Macaca mulatta: one gene and its partners. The protein of the gene in region 1 purifies or fractionates together with the protein of each later gene. This does not show direct contact. Links are inferred from orthologs where the notes say so. Each region holds a gene or a part of one and is shown in the gene's direction. Other genes may lie near its edges.

Region 1 (4,240 bases):
CAGGGCCTGTGTTTGAACTTTCTATTATGCTGATGCCAAGTTACCATCTGAAGTAACTTTTCCTGCAGTGTTTCAGAGGTGCGTAGACGGTATTTCTAGGGTCCAGATTTTAAAAGGAGTCTGGACATTGCTCAGGTTTGCAGATCAGTGCCTCAGCCTGTCCTGCCAGAAAAATCACTGATTTCAGATGGGCTCATAGAGGAAGCTCCCGGCAATAGTAGCTAAAAATCCAAAATTTTTCAGGTAACCTAATGTATTTTTATTCTTTTCAATAAGAGTAAGTCATTTATTATTTTTATTTTTTATTATTATTTTTTTGAGACAGAGTCTCACTCTTTTGCCCAGACTGGAATGCAATGGTGCGATCATGGCTCACTGCAACCTTTGCCTCCTGGGCGCAAGCAATCCTCCTGCCTCAGCCTCCCGAGTAGCTGGGACCATAGGTGCATGCCACCACACCTGGCTAATTTTTAAATTTTTTTGTAGAGACAGGGGTCTCACTTTGTTGTCTAGGTTGGTCTTGAATGCCTAGGCTCAAGCAATCCTCCAGCCTTGGCCTCCTCCCTAAGTGCTGAGATTACAAACGTGAGCCATCGTGCCTGGCCTAAAAAAGTTATTTTCATGGTGGCTTATGCCTGTAATCTCAAACTGTGTGTGTGTGTGTGTGTGTGTGTGTGTGTGTGTGTGTGTGTGTTTCTATTTAGAGCTATAACTGAAGATCATGCCCTTAGAAATGACTGTGATCCAGGCTGGGTGCAGTGGCTCACGCCTGTAATCCCAGCACTTTGGGAGGCCGAGGCAGGTGGATCATGAGGCCAGGAGATCGAGACCATGCTGGCTAACATGGTGAAACCCCATCTCTACTAAAAATACAAAACATTAGCTGGGCATGGTGGCGGGTACCTGTAGTCCCAGCTACTTGGGAGGCTGAGGCAGGAGAATGGCTTGAACCCACGAGGCAGAGCTTGCAGTGAGCCAGGATCATGCCACTGCACTCCAGCCTGGGCAACAGAGCAAGACTCTGTCTCAAAAAAAAAAAAAAAAGAAAGAAATGACTGTGATCCAATAAGACATATGGATAATATCTCTTTACTGACTCTATTGAGGATATTGGCCATTTGTTATTTGGTATTTTATACAGACACTCCTTACCTTATAACATGTTGTAAGTTTAAAATATTGTAATTTGAAATGGGTATTTTGTAGACATAGGATGCAAAAACACAAAACACTATATCCAAAAATTGCTCACAGCAGAACAGTGTAAATTATCTGTTGTTTCCTCTCGTGATTGTGTGGCTGACTGGGAGCTGCCGCTCATTGCCACTGTCCAGCATTAGGAGTGGGTTTGGTACCACATATTGCTAGCCTGGGAAAAGATCAAATTTCAAAGCATAGTTTCCGCTAAATGCCTATTACTTTGGAACCATCATAAAGTTGAAAAATTTTAAGTTGAACCATCATAAGTCAGGGACCATCATCTGTACATAAAGATCCCTAAGACTGATTTTTCGGCCGGGCGCGGTGGCTCAAGCCTGTAATCCCAGCACTTTGGGAGGCCGAGACGGGCGGATCACGAGGTCAGGAGATCAAGACCATCCTGGCTAACACGGTGAAACCCCGTCTCTACTAAAAAAAATACAAAAAAACTAGCCGGGCGAGGTGGCAGGCGCCTGTAGTCCCAGCTACTCGGGAGGCTGAGGCAGGAGAATGGTGTAAACTCGGGCGGCGGAGCTTGCAGTGAGCTGAGATCCGGCCACTGCACTCCAGCTTGGGCGACAGAGCGAGACTCTGTCTCAAAAAAAAAAAAAAAAAAAAAAAAAAAAGACTGATTTTTCTTAAAGATCAGTGTCTAAACAAATTTCTGATGAGCTGCCATTTCCTTTTGACAGACAATGAGAGTAACCCAGCCACTGAGTATCCCTCTGTGCCTTGCCTGTGAGGGGGCTCAAAACAAAACTTTGTGTTCAGTCTGAGTTATCTTGTATTATGTTTTAATGGTTTAGTTTTATTTTTCAGTGTTTTTCATATAAACTGCCTCCAATCTTTTCTCTAAAGGAGTAGAGGTATAAACATACACATAGAGGACTGAGTGATGGTAGGACCTTGGGTGAAGAGAGGGAGGATTAGAAGAACAATTCTGAAAGAAAGGAGGACAAGAGGGTCAGAGATGAGGAGGACAGAAAGGTCAGTGTTGAAGAAGAGAAAGTGAAGAAGTCTTAGAACATTGCTAGCTGGCAGGAGAAGCGAGAGGGGGCTGGCCTCGGGGAAAGGTCATCTTCCTAAACAGGTCCTCCGTTTCCCTTTGGGTCTGGGTCTAGGCCGGGGCCTTGTCTGAATAGGCTTGAACATGAAAGTGAGCATTCCTGAGTTCTGGTTTCTCTCTCTGATGCTGGCCCCCACAGGTTTGGCCCCTACTACACTGAGCCAGTCATTGCCGGATTGGACCCGAAGACCTTCAAGCCCTTCATTTGCTCTCTAGACCTCATCGGCTGCCCCATGGTGACTGATGACTTTGTGGTCAGTGGCACCTGCGCCGAACAAATGTACGGAATGTGCGAGTCCCTCTGGGAGCCCAACATGGTATGTTGGTGGCATGGAGTGGGACTGGGCTCTGAGGTACCCACCCTTGGTCATTAGGAAAAAAATGTGTTTATGTGGCAGGTAATGGGGGAAATGGTGCAGGTGGGAAAGCCGCAGCTGCTGCTCCTTGGAAGGGTATCCAGAAATTCCATCTGCCAGGGCTGACTGGCTCCAAAGGAGAGCGTCTTCTGTTGGGAAACCACAGTTAGATATTTGCCACAGCAGTAAGAATTCCTTACATTGGGTTTACAGGGTTCCCGCATCCATTCGTTGAGCAAACATTTAACTCAGTGTAGGGTTAGAGGCGGCTCAACAGAATGGGCTTTGGAACCAGGTTGTCTGGGTTGGAAACTTGGATCCACCCACCACGTTAGTTATTGTTCTTGGAGAAGCCAGTTTACTTCTCTGCCTCCACTACTTTGACTGTAAAATGGGGATAAGAAAGTCTACCTTAGAAGTGGTGCTGAGGAGGCCAGGGGCGGTGGCTCACACCTGTAATCACAGTATTTTGGGAGGCTGAGGCAAGCAGATCACCTGAGGTCGGGAGTTCAAGACCAGCCTGACCAACATGGAGAAACTGTCTCTACTAAAAAAAAAATGTCAAATTAGCCGGGCATGGTGGTGCACGCCTGTAATCCCAGCTACTCAGGAGGCTGAGGAGAATCGCTTGAGCCTGGGAGGCAGAGGTTACAGTGAGCCAAGATCGTGCCATAGCACTGCATCCTGGGCAACAAGAGCTAAACTCCATCTCAAAAAAAAAAACAAAAAAAAAAACCCACAGTGGTGCTGAGGAAAACAAATGAGTATATGTCCTGCCGAAGCGAGCAAAAAAACAAATGAGAAGAGATTATAGTGCTCGACAGCGAGGGTCGGCTGTCATTATTGAGTGTCAGTTCTCCTGGGCATTGGGGAAAGCAGGTACAGTCTGCTTTCAAGGGCCCACTGCAGTCCAGTGAAGCAAGACACACCCAAATACCATTAAACTGCAGTTTGTTGGGAAGAAGAGGAAAGAAGAGAGTCTGGTAGCAGAAGGAACAGCCTGTGCAAAGGTACAGGAATGGCCAGGTATGCTCAGTGACTGGAGAGAGCTGAACCTGGCTGAAGTGTGGGTTAAACATGGTGCGAAACGATGCTGGAGACTGAGATGAGACCTCAAAGGGCCTTGAATGCCATGCCAAGGAGTTTGAACTCTGTCCTCTGCCGTAAGGAACCTAGGGAATCAGGTGCCTTTAGGTGGACATGACAGGCTGTTATCGCCTGCAGGAGGCACTGAGGCCCTGAGCAAAGACAGTGGCAGTGGGGAGGCAGGAAGGCAGCTGTCAAGGGGACTTAGTCACTTAAAACAGAAGTGAAGGAGGTAGAGACAGAGGATGGCTGGATTCTCCAGCTAGGCTAGCCAAGACAGAATGTAGAAGGAACAGGTTTGGGGAAAGTGGGTTTGTGGTTGGAGACAGGTTGGGTTTTGAGGTACCTGTTAAGATATCCAGGATCAGAGCCCATCAGACAGCTGCTAAAGCACATGGGAACCAAATAGGGATTCTTCTCCCTATTTTACAGAGAAGAAACTGAGGCTCAGTGAAGGGACGTGCTATTTGCCCAATGTCACACTGCTGATTAGTAAAAGAAATTCAGGGCTTGACGTCTCTTTCACTTTCCT
Region 2 (4,716 bases), on another chromosome or scaffold:
TGTATATTTCCTTCCCTCCTGTCATCGCTAATCCATATCTCAGTTTAGATCCCCCTCCTGATACGTATGTCAACATACCCATCCCATAGGCATTCTGCCTCCCAAGCTGTTTCTGCTGTGTTCTTTATCTCATTGAAGGACTTCACCTATCTACCCAGCGTCATCTTGTCTCTTTCCTTTTTAATTTTCCACTTTCAGTCAACTACTAAGCCCAAGCCATTCTGCTGCAGTAGCTCTCAATTTCAACTGACATCCAGGCCATAATTATGTCACACCTTAAGGGGTCCTCCAGTTCCCAATCTTGTCAGTTGCAACCAATTTTCCAGACGAAGCCAGAGAGCCGGAGTGAATTTTTTTTTTTTTTTGAGACGGAATTGCGCTCTTTTTGCCCAGGGTGGAGTGCCCTGGCGCGATCTCGGCTCGCTGCAACCACTGCCTTCCGGTTTCAAGCGATTCTCCTACCTCAGCCTCCCGAGAAGCTGGGATTACAGGCGTCCGCCACCATGCCCGGCTAATTTTTTTGTATTTTTAGTAGAGACGGGGTTTCACCATGTTGGCCAGGCTGGTCTCGAACTCCTGACCTGGTGATCCGCCCGCCTCGGCCTGCCAAAAGTGCTGGAATTACAGGCGTGAGCCACCGCGCCCGGCCGCCAGAGTGATTCTTTAAAAATGTAAATTATATCATCCCACTGCTATGCTTAAAATCTTTTGGAAGTTTGTCTCTAGGATAAAGTTCTGAATTCCTTAGGATTTCCTTCTCAGTCTCATTTCTCCGTCCCCTCTCTTACGCTATTTTGAAATTTGAATTTTTAGAATACATGCTTGCAGCCTCAAGAGCTGTTCTCTCAGCTAAATACGTGTTCTCCTCCCTCCTTTTTCTAATCAACTTTGCACTCAACCCTTACAGCTTAATTTAAGTATCACTTCTAGGAAACTGACACCCTCTCAACCCCCTAGTTTGAACTTCTCTGTAGAGTTTCTAAGGCTTCCTGTACTTATCTAGCAATTAAGAGCATTATCTTGTAATTCACGTCTTTATCTCTGCTAGACTAAGTCCTTGGGAGGGCGGAAACCAGGGTAAACTTTCCATCTCAATAGCCTAAACGGAGTGCCTTACACACGAAACAGTCGTTCAATTAGCATTTATTCAGTGAGTTAACGATTTTCTTCCTTGGAATGATGGCGGCCAGAATACCAGAAAGATGGGGACTAAAAGGGGACAGAATAATTAAATCTATAAGGAACAAGCGGGAAGGAGTAAATAAATCTATAAGGAGCAAGTGGGTACGTAGGCTTTTCCATAAATCCCTGTAACCTAAAAGCCGGGGCTGCTCGGCTAGGGGGACCAGGCCGACCTGGCGAACCTGTCGCCGCGACTGGGGCTCCGGTGGGCGCCGCCTGGAGTGCGCGACCCCCGGCGAAGCAGGACAATAGCTTGGAATTCGGCCTCGTGTTTCCGGTGAGGCAGCCTCGCGCTGGGCCGGTGAGGCCCGGGGTGGGGGCTCCGAGCCGGGCCCACGGCAAGGAAGGCGCGGCCCGCTGGGCTCCAGCTGCCGCCACCACCGCCTCCCCCGACGCCGTCGCTCCGCCCCGCCCCGCCCCGGAAGTGACTTGAGACCGGTCCGGAACCTCTGAGCCCGGCGGCTGCAGCGTCACCAGCCGAGCCGGTGCGGGGCGGGCAGAGCGGCCGCTGCCGCCGCCAACGAACCGGGAACCGCGCGGGGCCCAGCAGCACGCCGGCCAGGGAAGGGGGCCTAGCGATCGGTCAGAGGGCGACGGGCCGCCGGCGGCCGCAGGGCGACGAAGACGCGGAGGAGGCGGAGCCCGGAGAGGGGTGGGGGTCGGGGAGGGTTAGGGTGGGAGGGGGTAGGGGGGGTGTCCCTGGGCTCATGGAGCTGGCCGAACGGGCGAGAGTCGGAGAGCCCCCGGAGCCGGGCGGGCGTTCCGAGCCGGGCCCGCGGGGCTTCGTCCCGCAGAAAGAGATCGTCTACAACAAGCTGCTGCCCTACGCCGAGCGGCTAGACGCCGAGTCCGACTTGCAGCTGGCCCAGATCAAATGCAACCTGGGCCGGGCGGTGCAGCTCCAAGAGCTGTGGCCCGGGGGCCTCTTCTGGACCAGGAAACTCTCCACGTAAGTGTGCCCGGGCCTGCAGGCCGGGCCGGGGGGAGAGGCTTAGTGAGAGGTGTCGGGGATGGGTGCTCTTTGTCCAGAGGACTGGACCCTTAGCTCTGTCCTCGCTGGAGCTGTCCCCGAGCGGTGGTCCCAGGGTCGTGACAGAGCCTGTGAAGCACTCAAGCTGTCCTCCCTGACACTTTCTTACCGGGATTCCCGGGTCCTCACCAGCCCTGCACGTCCTCTCCATCTGCTTCTCCCGAAGTGTTCGGGTTGTTGTCTTCCCACCTGGGGGGACCTGGGGAGCCCAAGGGCCCCGGCCCCGAGGGAGAGAGGTGAGCCTTTCCCAAGGGTCCTTCGTGGATCTTTGCGCATAGGAGAGGCGGGGCAGAGAGGATTTGCCTTTGGGGGAGTTCTGTGACTTCTCTCCCTGCTTCCTCCGGTTCTTCCTTCCCCTACGATCCCCGCCTCTTCACATCTCCGTTGGCGTCTAGTAACTTTCTGAATGGAAAGGAGACCATTGGGAAACTTAAGGGTTCTGCTTTTTTGGGGCCCGCTCAGACCTGGCGGAGTTGATCGAAAAGGTTGGTTTAAAGTCAGACTTCATTCTTGAGCTTAACGTCTTAGACGTTAATGTGGACAATGTTGTTTAAGATCCTAAGGATTGTGTGTTGTTCCTGTTGTGACATTTCTTTTGGAGAGGCCTTTAAGATACTGAGGAAAGTAGGGAAGAGTACTGTCAGGATGTCCACGGCGATACTCGTATCAGGCTTGTGTTAATATTTTGAGTTACTCAGATTAACATAGATTACCTGAATCAGTTTCAGGAGTTCTGTTTGTAAACTAGCTTCAAACTATAGTGTCACTGAAATTAGGAAAAAAACAAAAAACAAAGAATAAAAATACAGTGGGGGAGGAAAGGTTACATTTACCTGCTGGGTGGGCATCTTTACTGTGTCGGAAGAGCTTTTTAAGAAATAATTTTGCTGTATCTTGTTTGGTTAACTGTACATAAAATCTAGTAACATGGTATGTTCACGCATGTGGGTATGGATGGGTGAACACACAAGACCTAAGTCACTCATTCAGTGTTTACCCAAATCTACTGATTGAACTGAGTGATGACTCAGGGTTTTGTAATAGTTTTGTCCATATTTCTTCACTGGATGATTCTCGTCTGCCAATTATTAAGGAGCCTCTGACAAATTTCTCATTTCCACTTGAGGGGTGGGTGGGAACTAAAATTAAAAAGAAGCAAAACTGAAACATGTAATTTGCCCTCTTCAGAGAGTGATCATAAAATGTCAAGGTTAACAACTCTCCTCCTGACTACAGTATAAAGAAGTTTTTGGTGTTAACGATCCTTAGGAGAATGGGGGTGAGGGGCGGCAGAAGCAGGAATGCAACAGGGAGAACCACGTTTAGTCAAAAAAAGAATACTTCATAAATAGTTACAATCCAAATGCTTTTTGAAGTGAGACTCCTAGGTTTTTGTGTTACTCAGGCACAGTAAAAATAGTCACTTTGTTACAGTGATTCCCCATTTTAATCACTTGGATTAGACTTGCTGGGAGAATACCTACCATTTTTGGGGATGCAAACAGCTTTTTTTAGATATGCAGTATATACATATGCCATGGTGCGAAGGCATATCTGGTTTGGATTTATGAACCTAGAATCTACCAAGGCATACTTAAACATTGTTTTCTGAAGTATTTATTGTTATCAAGTTTGGTAAATTAGCACTCCGGGTTTTGTTATTTTGGCTTATTAGGTAAAAGTTTTTACTTAGAAAGGGCTAAAAATAACAGTGGAGCTAATGTTTGGTGTTTAGGGCTGGATTGCTGATGGCTTAATACCCATGAACCTATAACCATTTATATCTAAATAACCAACAAGAAATGCTATCGGGTAAAATTTTGTTTTGGTGTAATGGTTAAATGCTGGAAACTGATTCTTGGTATTGCACTATGAGACATTTTGAATGCAGTGGGACATGTTGTGATCTTGGGTGTGTTTTTTTCCTAAGTCATGTTAAGGTGACCTGTTTATAGTTGTGCTTGTTTTTTAAGCCTTCTGTGTTGCATAAGTGAACATCTGAATAATGCCAAAACGTGTGACGAAAGCTGAGTGGTGATCATATTTAGTACTTCGTAGAATAGAAAGTGGTAATGAAAAGAAATCTAGTTTCTCCCACTAGCCCTGAGACTGTGGGAAAGTTACTTAATCATGTGTTTCAGTATTCTTGTGCGTGAAATGAGGAGATTGGACTAAATAATTCTTTTTTTTTTTTTTTTTTTTTTTTTGAGGTGGAGTCTTGCTGTTTCCCAGGCTGGAGTGCAGTGACGGGATCTTGGCTCACTGCATCCCCTGCCTTTGGGGTTCAAGTGATTCTCCTGCCTCAGCCTCCCAGGCAGGTGGGATTATAGGCGAGTGCCACCACGCCTGGCTACTTTCTTTGTATTTTTAGTAGAGAGAGGGTTTCACGATGTTGGTCAGGCTGGTCTTGAACTCCTGACCTCAAGCAATCTGCCTGCCTCGGCCTCCCAAAGTGCTGGGATTACATGTGTGAGCCACCGCACCTGACCTGGACTAAATTCTTG
Region 3 (4,804 bases), on another chromosome or scaffold:
GCTCACTGCAACCTCCACTTCCCAGGTTCAAGTGATCTCCTGCCTCAACCTCCCGAGTCGCTGGGATTACAGGCCCCCACCACCACACCTGTCTAGTGTTTGTATTTTTAGTAGGGACAGGGTTTCACCATGTTGGCCAGGCTGGTCTCGAACCCCTGACCTCAAGTGATCTGCCCACTTTGGCCTCCCAAAGTGCTGAGATTACAGGCATGAGCCACTGTGCCCGGCCGTTTTTACATTTTTTAATGGTTGGAAAAGCAAAAGAAAAAGAATATTTTATTACAGGAAAAAATTACATGAAATTCAGTCCAGTGTCTGTAAAGTTTTATTGATCTCACCATACTAATTCATTTACATATGGCAGCTTTCCTGCTACAATGGTAGAGTTGAGTAGACAGACACTGTAAGGCCCATAAAGCCTACAATTTACTCTCTGGCTCTTTATAGAAAAAGCTGACCAGACGCAGTGGCTCATGCCTGTAATCCCAGCACTTTGGGAGGCCGAGGCGGGCGGATCACGAGGTCAGCATATCGAGTCCATCCTGGCTAACATGGTGAAACCCCATCTCTACTAAAAATACAAAAATAGCCGAGCGTGGTGGGACGCGCCTGTAGTCCCAGCTACTGCGAAGGCTGAAGCAGGAGAATCGCTTGAACCCAGCAGGTGGAGGTTGCAGTAAGCTGAGATTGTGCCACTGCACTCCACCCTGGGCGACAGAGTGAGACTCTGTCCCCCAACACACACACACACACACACACACACACACACACACACACACACACACACAGTTTGCTGGTTTAAATCAGTGAATTATCCTGGGGAGAAAAAAAAAAAAACCGGGCTAATATCAGAGATAAATGCTATGAATGTACTAAAACAGGCTGATTTGTAATGCATTTGGAGGGAGGTTCCTTATAGAGGATGATGAAAATAGTTGTCTCTGAAGAGGTGACATCTAAACTGAGAACCGAATGACAACACCCAGGGTAAGTGTGTTTTAGACAAAGGGATTATTAGCAAGGGCAAAGGCCCTGAGGCAGGAATGAACATGACACATTTGGGAAACAAATAGCCCGAGTATTTGCAAGTGTAATGAATGAAGGGGCAAGTAGTAGAAAGTGAACTTAAAGGGGAGACAGCTGCAACAGCCTTTTGGATTTCATTCTAAGGTCAACAGGCAGCTGAGAAAGGGTTTTAAGCCAGACAGAGGCATGAACCCGCTGCTCTGTGAGAGTGGGCTGTAGAATGGCATATGCCGCGGTGGTCCAGGAGAGAGCTGGTCCGGGCTTGGATAGGGATGCTGTCGGCTCTGGTGCCGGTGTTGCTACAGGTGCGGAGGATGTCGGCAGAGCCAGAGGCCCACGCTAGCAAGGCTAGGAAAGAGAGGCCAGGTCTTATTCCATCTCTGGGGAAAGACAGAAGAGCCCTAAGTAAGACTTATCTGTCCCAGGCGGAGCAGGGGAAGAAGAGAGCAGGTGGGGAGCCAGTTGGGAGGCGGAAGGTGGAGGGCGGGGCGCGGAGAGACTGGCTTAGACTAGACGATGGGAGGACCCGGCGTCCTCGGACGGCGGGCGGCGAGTGGCGAGAGGCGGGAGGCGGGAGGCGGGAGGCGGGAGGCGGGAGGCGGGAGGCGGGAGGCGGGAGGCGGGGACGAGAGGAGGGCGGGGAGGCGGGGACCCGGCCGGCGGGGGTGGGGAGGCTGGAAACTGGCCCTCGCGAGGCAGCCTGTGCGCGCTAGGGGGAGCCGCACCCGCCGCCCTCCTCTGCTGCACTGCACCTCTCCCTGGCCGGGCTGACCCCGCCTCCTCCAGCCCTCCCCGCCCCACTACCCAGGAAGGCCGTGAGTGGTGCGAGCGCCGCTTTCGCTTTCCCTTCGCGGTGCCCACTCCGTTCCTCGTGCGGCGCTAGGCCCCCCGTCCCGGTCATGGCCACGCTCAGGGTCCAGCCCGAGGCCCAAGCCAAGGTGAGCGCCGCGGGGTCTAGAAAGGGCCCACTGGGGAGGCGTGGCTCGAGCGGCCGGGGGCATCCCCGACCCGCCCCCCAGACTCCCACACAAGTCAGGGGCAGTCCGCCGAGCTGGCGCTCCCGGAGCACCTGCGCCCCGGGGAGGGCGGTGACTGCTGCCTGCGGGGACAGGCGAGGCGGCCGTGGTTCTGTGGGGTGAGGTGAAGCGGAGAGCTGGCGTGGAGGGGAACTCCGCTGGCCTGGAGCCGGGGCCACACACAGACTGGATGCGGGACTGCCCCAGCTACCTCGTGGCCTTTCCCTTAGGGAGGGTCCCGGGGCCCACCCCGTCCCTGTCCTGCTCGCAGAGGGCTCTCAGCACCCCTCCTCACACCTGCCAGGCGACCCCAGGGATCTGGTCTCACGTGAACCACTGGCCCTTCACTGCCAGGAATGTTCTCATCCCCCGTATCCAGCCCTAGGGATACCCATTCCACTCTCCGTAGATCCAGGTCTGCAGAGTTCCACTCCTCCACCACCCCAACCCACCCCACAGGCATCCATCTCGCTTTCTTCAGGTCTGGCCTTAGAGGGATCCCCTCCACCCTTCCCCAGGTCAGGCCCTACATAACCCTAAGGGAACTGTCCTCAAATGAACTGGCCTTAAAGCCAAGTTTCTGAAGGGATGCATGTGCCCCACAGGTGGATGTGTTTCGTGAAGACCTCTGTACCAAGGTAAGACATGCCCCATCAGCGGCCCCACCCCTGCCCAACTCCTACTGCTCAACCCTGCCTCACCACCTAGGATGGGCATTTGATGCTGACTCCCATCCTTCTCCATCCCACCTCACACACAGACAGAGAACCTGCTCGGGAGCTATTTCCCCAAGAAGATTTCTGAGCTGGATGCATTTTTAAAGGTACCGCGGCTGGGCAGGGAGCTAGGGAGTAAAGGCCAAGAGAAGGGTCAGGGGCTGTGAGAGTGAGGTGAAAGGAACCCCCTCACCTCCAGCCCTCCTCCCACCCTACACCAGGAGCCAGCTCTCAATGAAGCCAACCTGAGCAATCTGAAGGCCCCGTTGGACATCCCAGTGCCTGATCCAGTCAAGGAGAAAGAGAAAGAGGAACGGAAGAAACAGCAGGAGGCAAGCTGGGAAGACCTGGGAGAAGGGATCCAACCATGGGGGTAATCAACCTTAGTCCTGACTCTCATGAGCCCCTCTTTTTCTGCAGAAGGAAGACAAGGATGAAAAGAAGAAGGGGGAGGATGAAGACAAAGGTACTTGAAACCACAATTGTGGGAAGAGACTTGAGTCCCACCCACAGGAGCTCCTCCTAAGGATTTCTTTCTACTCTCCCCTTCAACCCTCACACAGGCTCAATCATGTGACTGACCCATTGCTCACTCTCTAGGTCCTCCCTGTGGTCCAGTGAACTGCAATGAAAAGATCTTGGTCCTTCTGCAGCGCTTGAAGCCTGAGATCAAGGATGTCATTGAGCAGCTCAACCTGGTAGGCTCTCCCCCTTCAACTCTCAGGCTTTAAGTCAAACCATTGTCCTCTTAGTCCCTGCCATTTAGGGCCTGGCACATGCCAGGTTTTAGCAAGAGAGAGCACAGCAAGTGAAACCAGAAGTCCGGGCTCTGAGGCTCAGGAGAGACCTGGCATGCCTCCACCCAGTGTGGGGAGGGAAGCAAGGGAGAATATGAAACGGAATTGGATAGAGGGCTGATGTGGCATTACGCCATTCCCTCTTCCCAGGTCACCACCTGGTTGCAGCTGCAGATACCTCGGATTGAGGATGGTAACAATTTTGGAGTGGCTGTCCAGGTGAGAGTGCTGCCCCACTTCCCTGCTCTTTTCTAGTCCATGCTTCCTTCTACTTTCCCCCTTGCTTTTTTTCCCTAGGAGAAGGTGTTTGAGCTGATGACCAGCCTCCACACCAAGCTAGAAGGCTTCCACACCCAAATCTCTAAGTGAGTGACCACCCATGTACACACTGTCTGTTTTGGGACAGAGACCTCCTTCTTCTACTCCATACACACTTCTCCTTCCACAGGTATTTCTCTGAGCGTGGTGATGCAGTGACTAAAGCAGCCAAGCAGCCCCATGTGGTAGGTGAGGCCCAGGTCAGGGTGCATGAGGGAAGGACTCATGTAAGGTCAGGCCTGACCCGAGCTTCCCACAGGGTGATTATCGGCAGCTGGTGCACGAGCTGGATGAGGCAGAGTACCGGGACATCCGGCTGATGGTCATGGAGATCCGCAATGCTTATGTGAGGAGGCGAGGGCAGGGGTGGGCAGAGGCAGCTTTCCCAGGCCACGCACTCCCTGACCCTGCAGGCTGGGGGTAAAGGGTGACAAAGTGCAGCTTCTCCACAAGGCTAGAAATGGGGCACAGAGCCACTGGAGGCCTCTGACTGACCTCCACTCCTCCCTGGCCCTGTAGGCTGTGTTATATGACATCATCCTGAAGAACTTCGAGAAGCTCAAGAAGCCCAGGGGAGAAACAAAGGGAATGATCTATTGAGAGCCCTCTCTCCCATTCTGGGATGGGTACAGCAGAGACCTTCCTACTTTTTACTGGGGACTCCAGATTTTCCCCAAACTTGCTTCTGTTGAGATTTTTCCCTCATCTTGCCTCCCAGGCACAATAAATATAGTTATACCACTGCCCATCAGCCCAAGTCTCTTTATTGGATCTGGACCCTGCTGGCCCTGGCTCAGGCATTTCCATTTCCATTAGTGGGACCAACCCACTGGGTGATTTGAGTGTTGAGCCACTGGTTGGTCCAGTCCTGCCGGATGTCGTCAAGGTGGCAGTCAAAGTCCACAAGGTGCTGGTGGGCCCGATCTTCCAG

Evidence for each region.
Region 2: the proteins of PSMB3 (region 1) and PSME4 purify together in Homo sapiens (affinity purification with mass spectrometry; 3 studies listed by BioGRID and IntAct, counting the BioPlex papers as one, with this or other methods). This does not show direct contact. The link is inferred for Macaca mulatta from reciprocal best matches to the Homo sapiens genes PSMB3 and PSME4.
Region 3: the proteins of PSMB3 (region 1) and PSME1 purify together in Homo sapiens (affinity purification with mass spectrometry; 4 studies listed by BioGRID and IntAct, counting the BioPlex papers as one, with this or other methods). This does not show direct contact. The link is inferred for Macaca mulatta from reciprocal best matches to the Homo sapiens genes PSMB3 and PSME1.

The regions. Positions count from the first base shown.
Region 1 is NC_133421.1:63,041,279-63,045,518, forward strand, and holds part of PSMB3 (proteasome subunit beta type-3), read left to right. Parts: intron 1-1,977; exon of another isoform or gene 1,978-2,405; coding exon 2,406-2,583; exon of another isoform or gene 2,584-3,714; intron 3,715-4,054; exon of another isoform or gene 4,055-4,240. UniProt on the Homo sapiens protein: Non-catalytic component of the 20S core proteasome complex involved in the proteolytic degradation of most intracellular proteins. This complex plays numerous essential roles within the cell by associating with different regulatory particles.
Region 2 is NC_133418.1:70,690,579-70,695,294, forward strand, and holds the start of PSME4 (proteasome activator complex subunit 4), read left to right. Parts: upstream 1-1,657; 5' UTR 1,658-1,889; coding exon 1,890-2,131; intron 2,132-4,716. UniProt on the Homo sapiens protein: Associated component of the proteasome that specifically recognizes acetylated histones and promotes ATP- and ubiquitin-independent degradation of core histones during spermatogenesis and DNA damage response.
Region 3 is NC_133412.1:97,252,422-97,257,225, forward strand, and holds PSME1 (proteasome activator complex subunit 1), read left to right. Parts: upstream 1-1,856; 5' UTR 1,857-1,925; coding exon 1,926-1,964; intron 1,965-2,647; coding exon 2,648-2,680; intron 2,681-2,802; coding exon 2,803-2,865; intron 2,866-2,979; coding exon 2,980-3,090; intron 3,091-3,178; coding exon 3,179-3,224; intron 3,225-3,358; coding exon 3,359-3,456; intron 3,457-3,705; coding exon 3,706-3,774; intron 3,775-3,852; coding exon 3,853-3,920; intron 3,921-4,003; coding exon 4,004-4,058; intron 4,059-4,132; coding exon 4,133-4,219; coding exon of another isoform or gene 4,220-4,227; intron 4,228-4,392; coding exon 4,393-4,473; 3' UTR 4,474-4,610; downstream 4,611-4,804. Other genes in the region: EMC9 (ER membrane protein complex subunit 9), read right to left, coding at 4,667-4,804. UniProt on the Homo sapiens protein: Implicated in immunoproteasome assembly and required for efficient antigen processing. The PA28 activator complex enhances the generation of class I binding peptides by altering the cleavage pattern of the proteasome.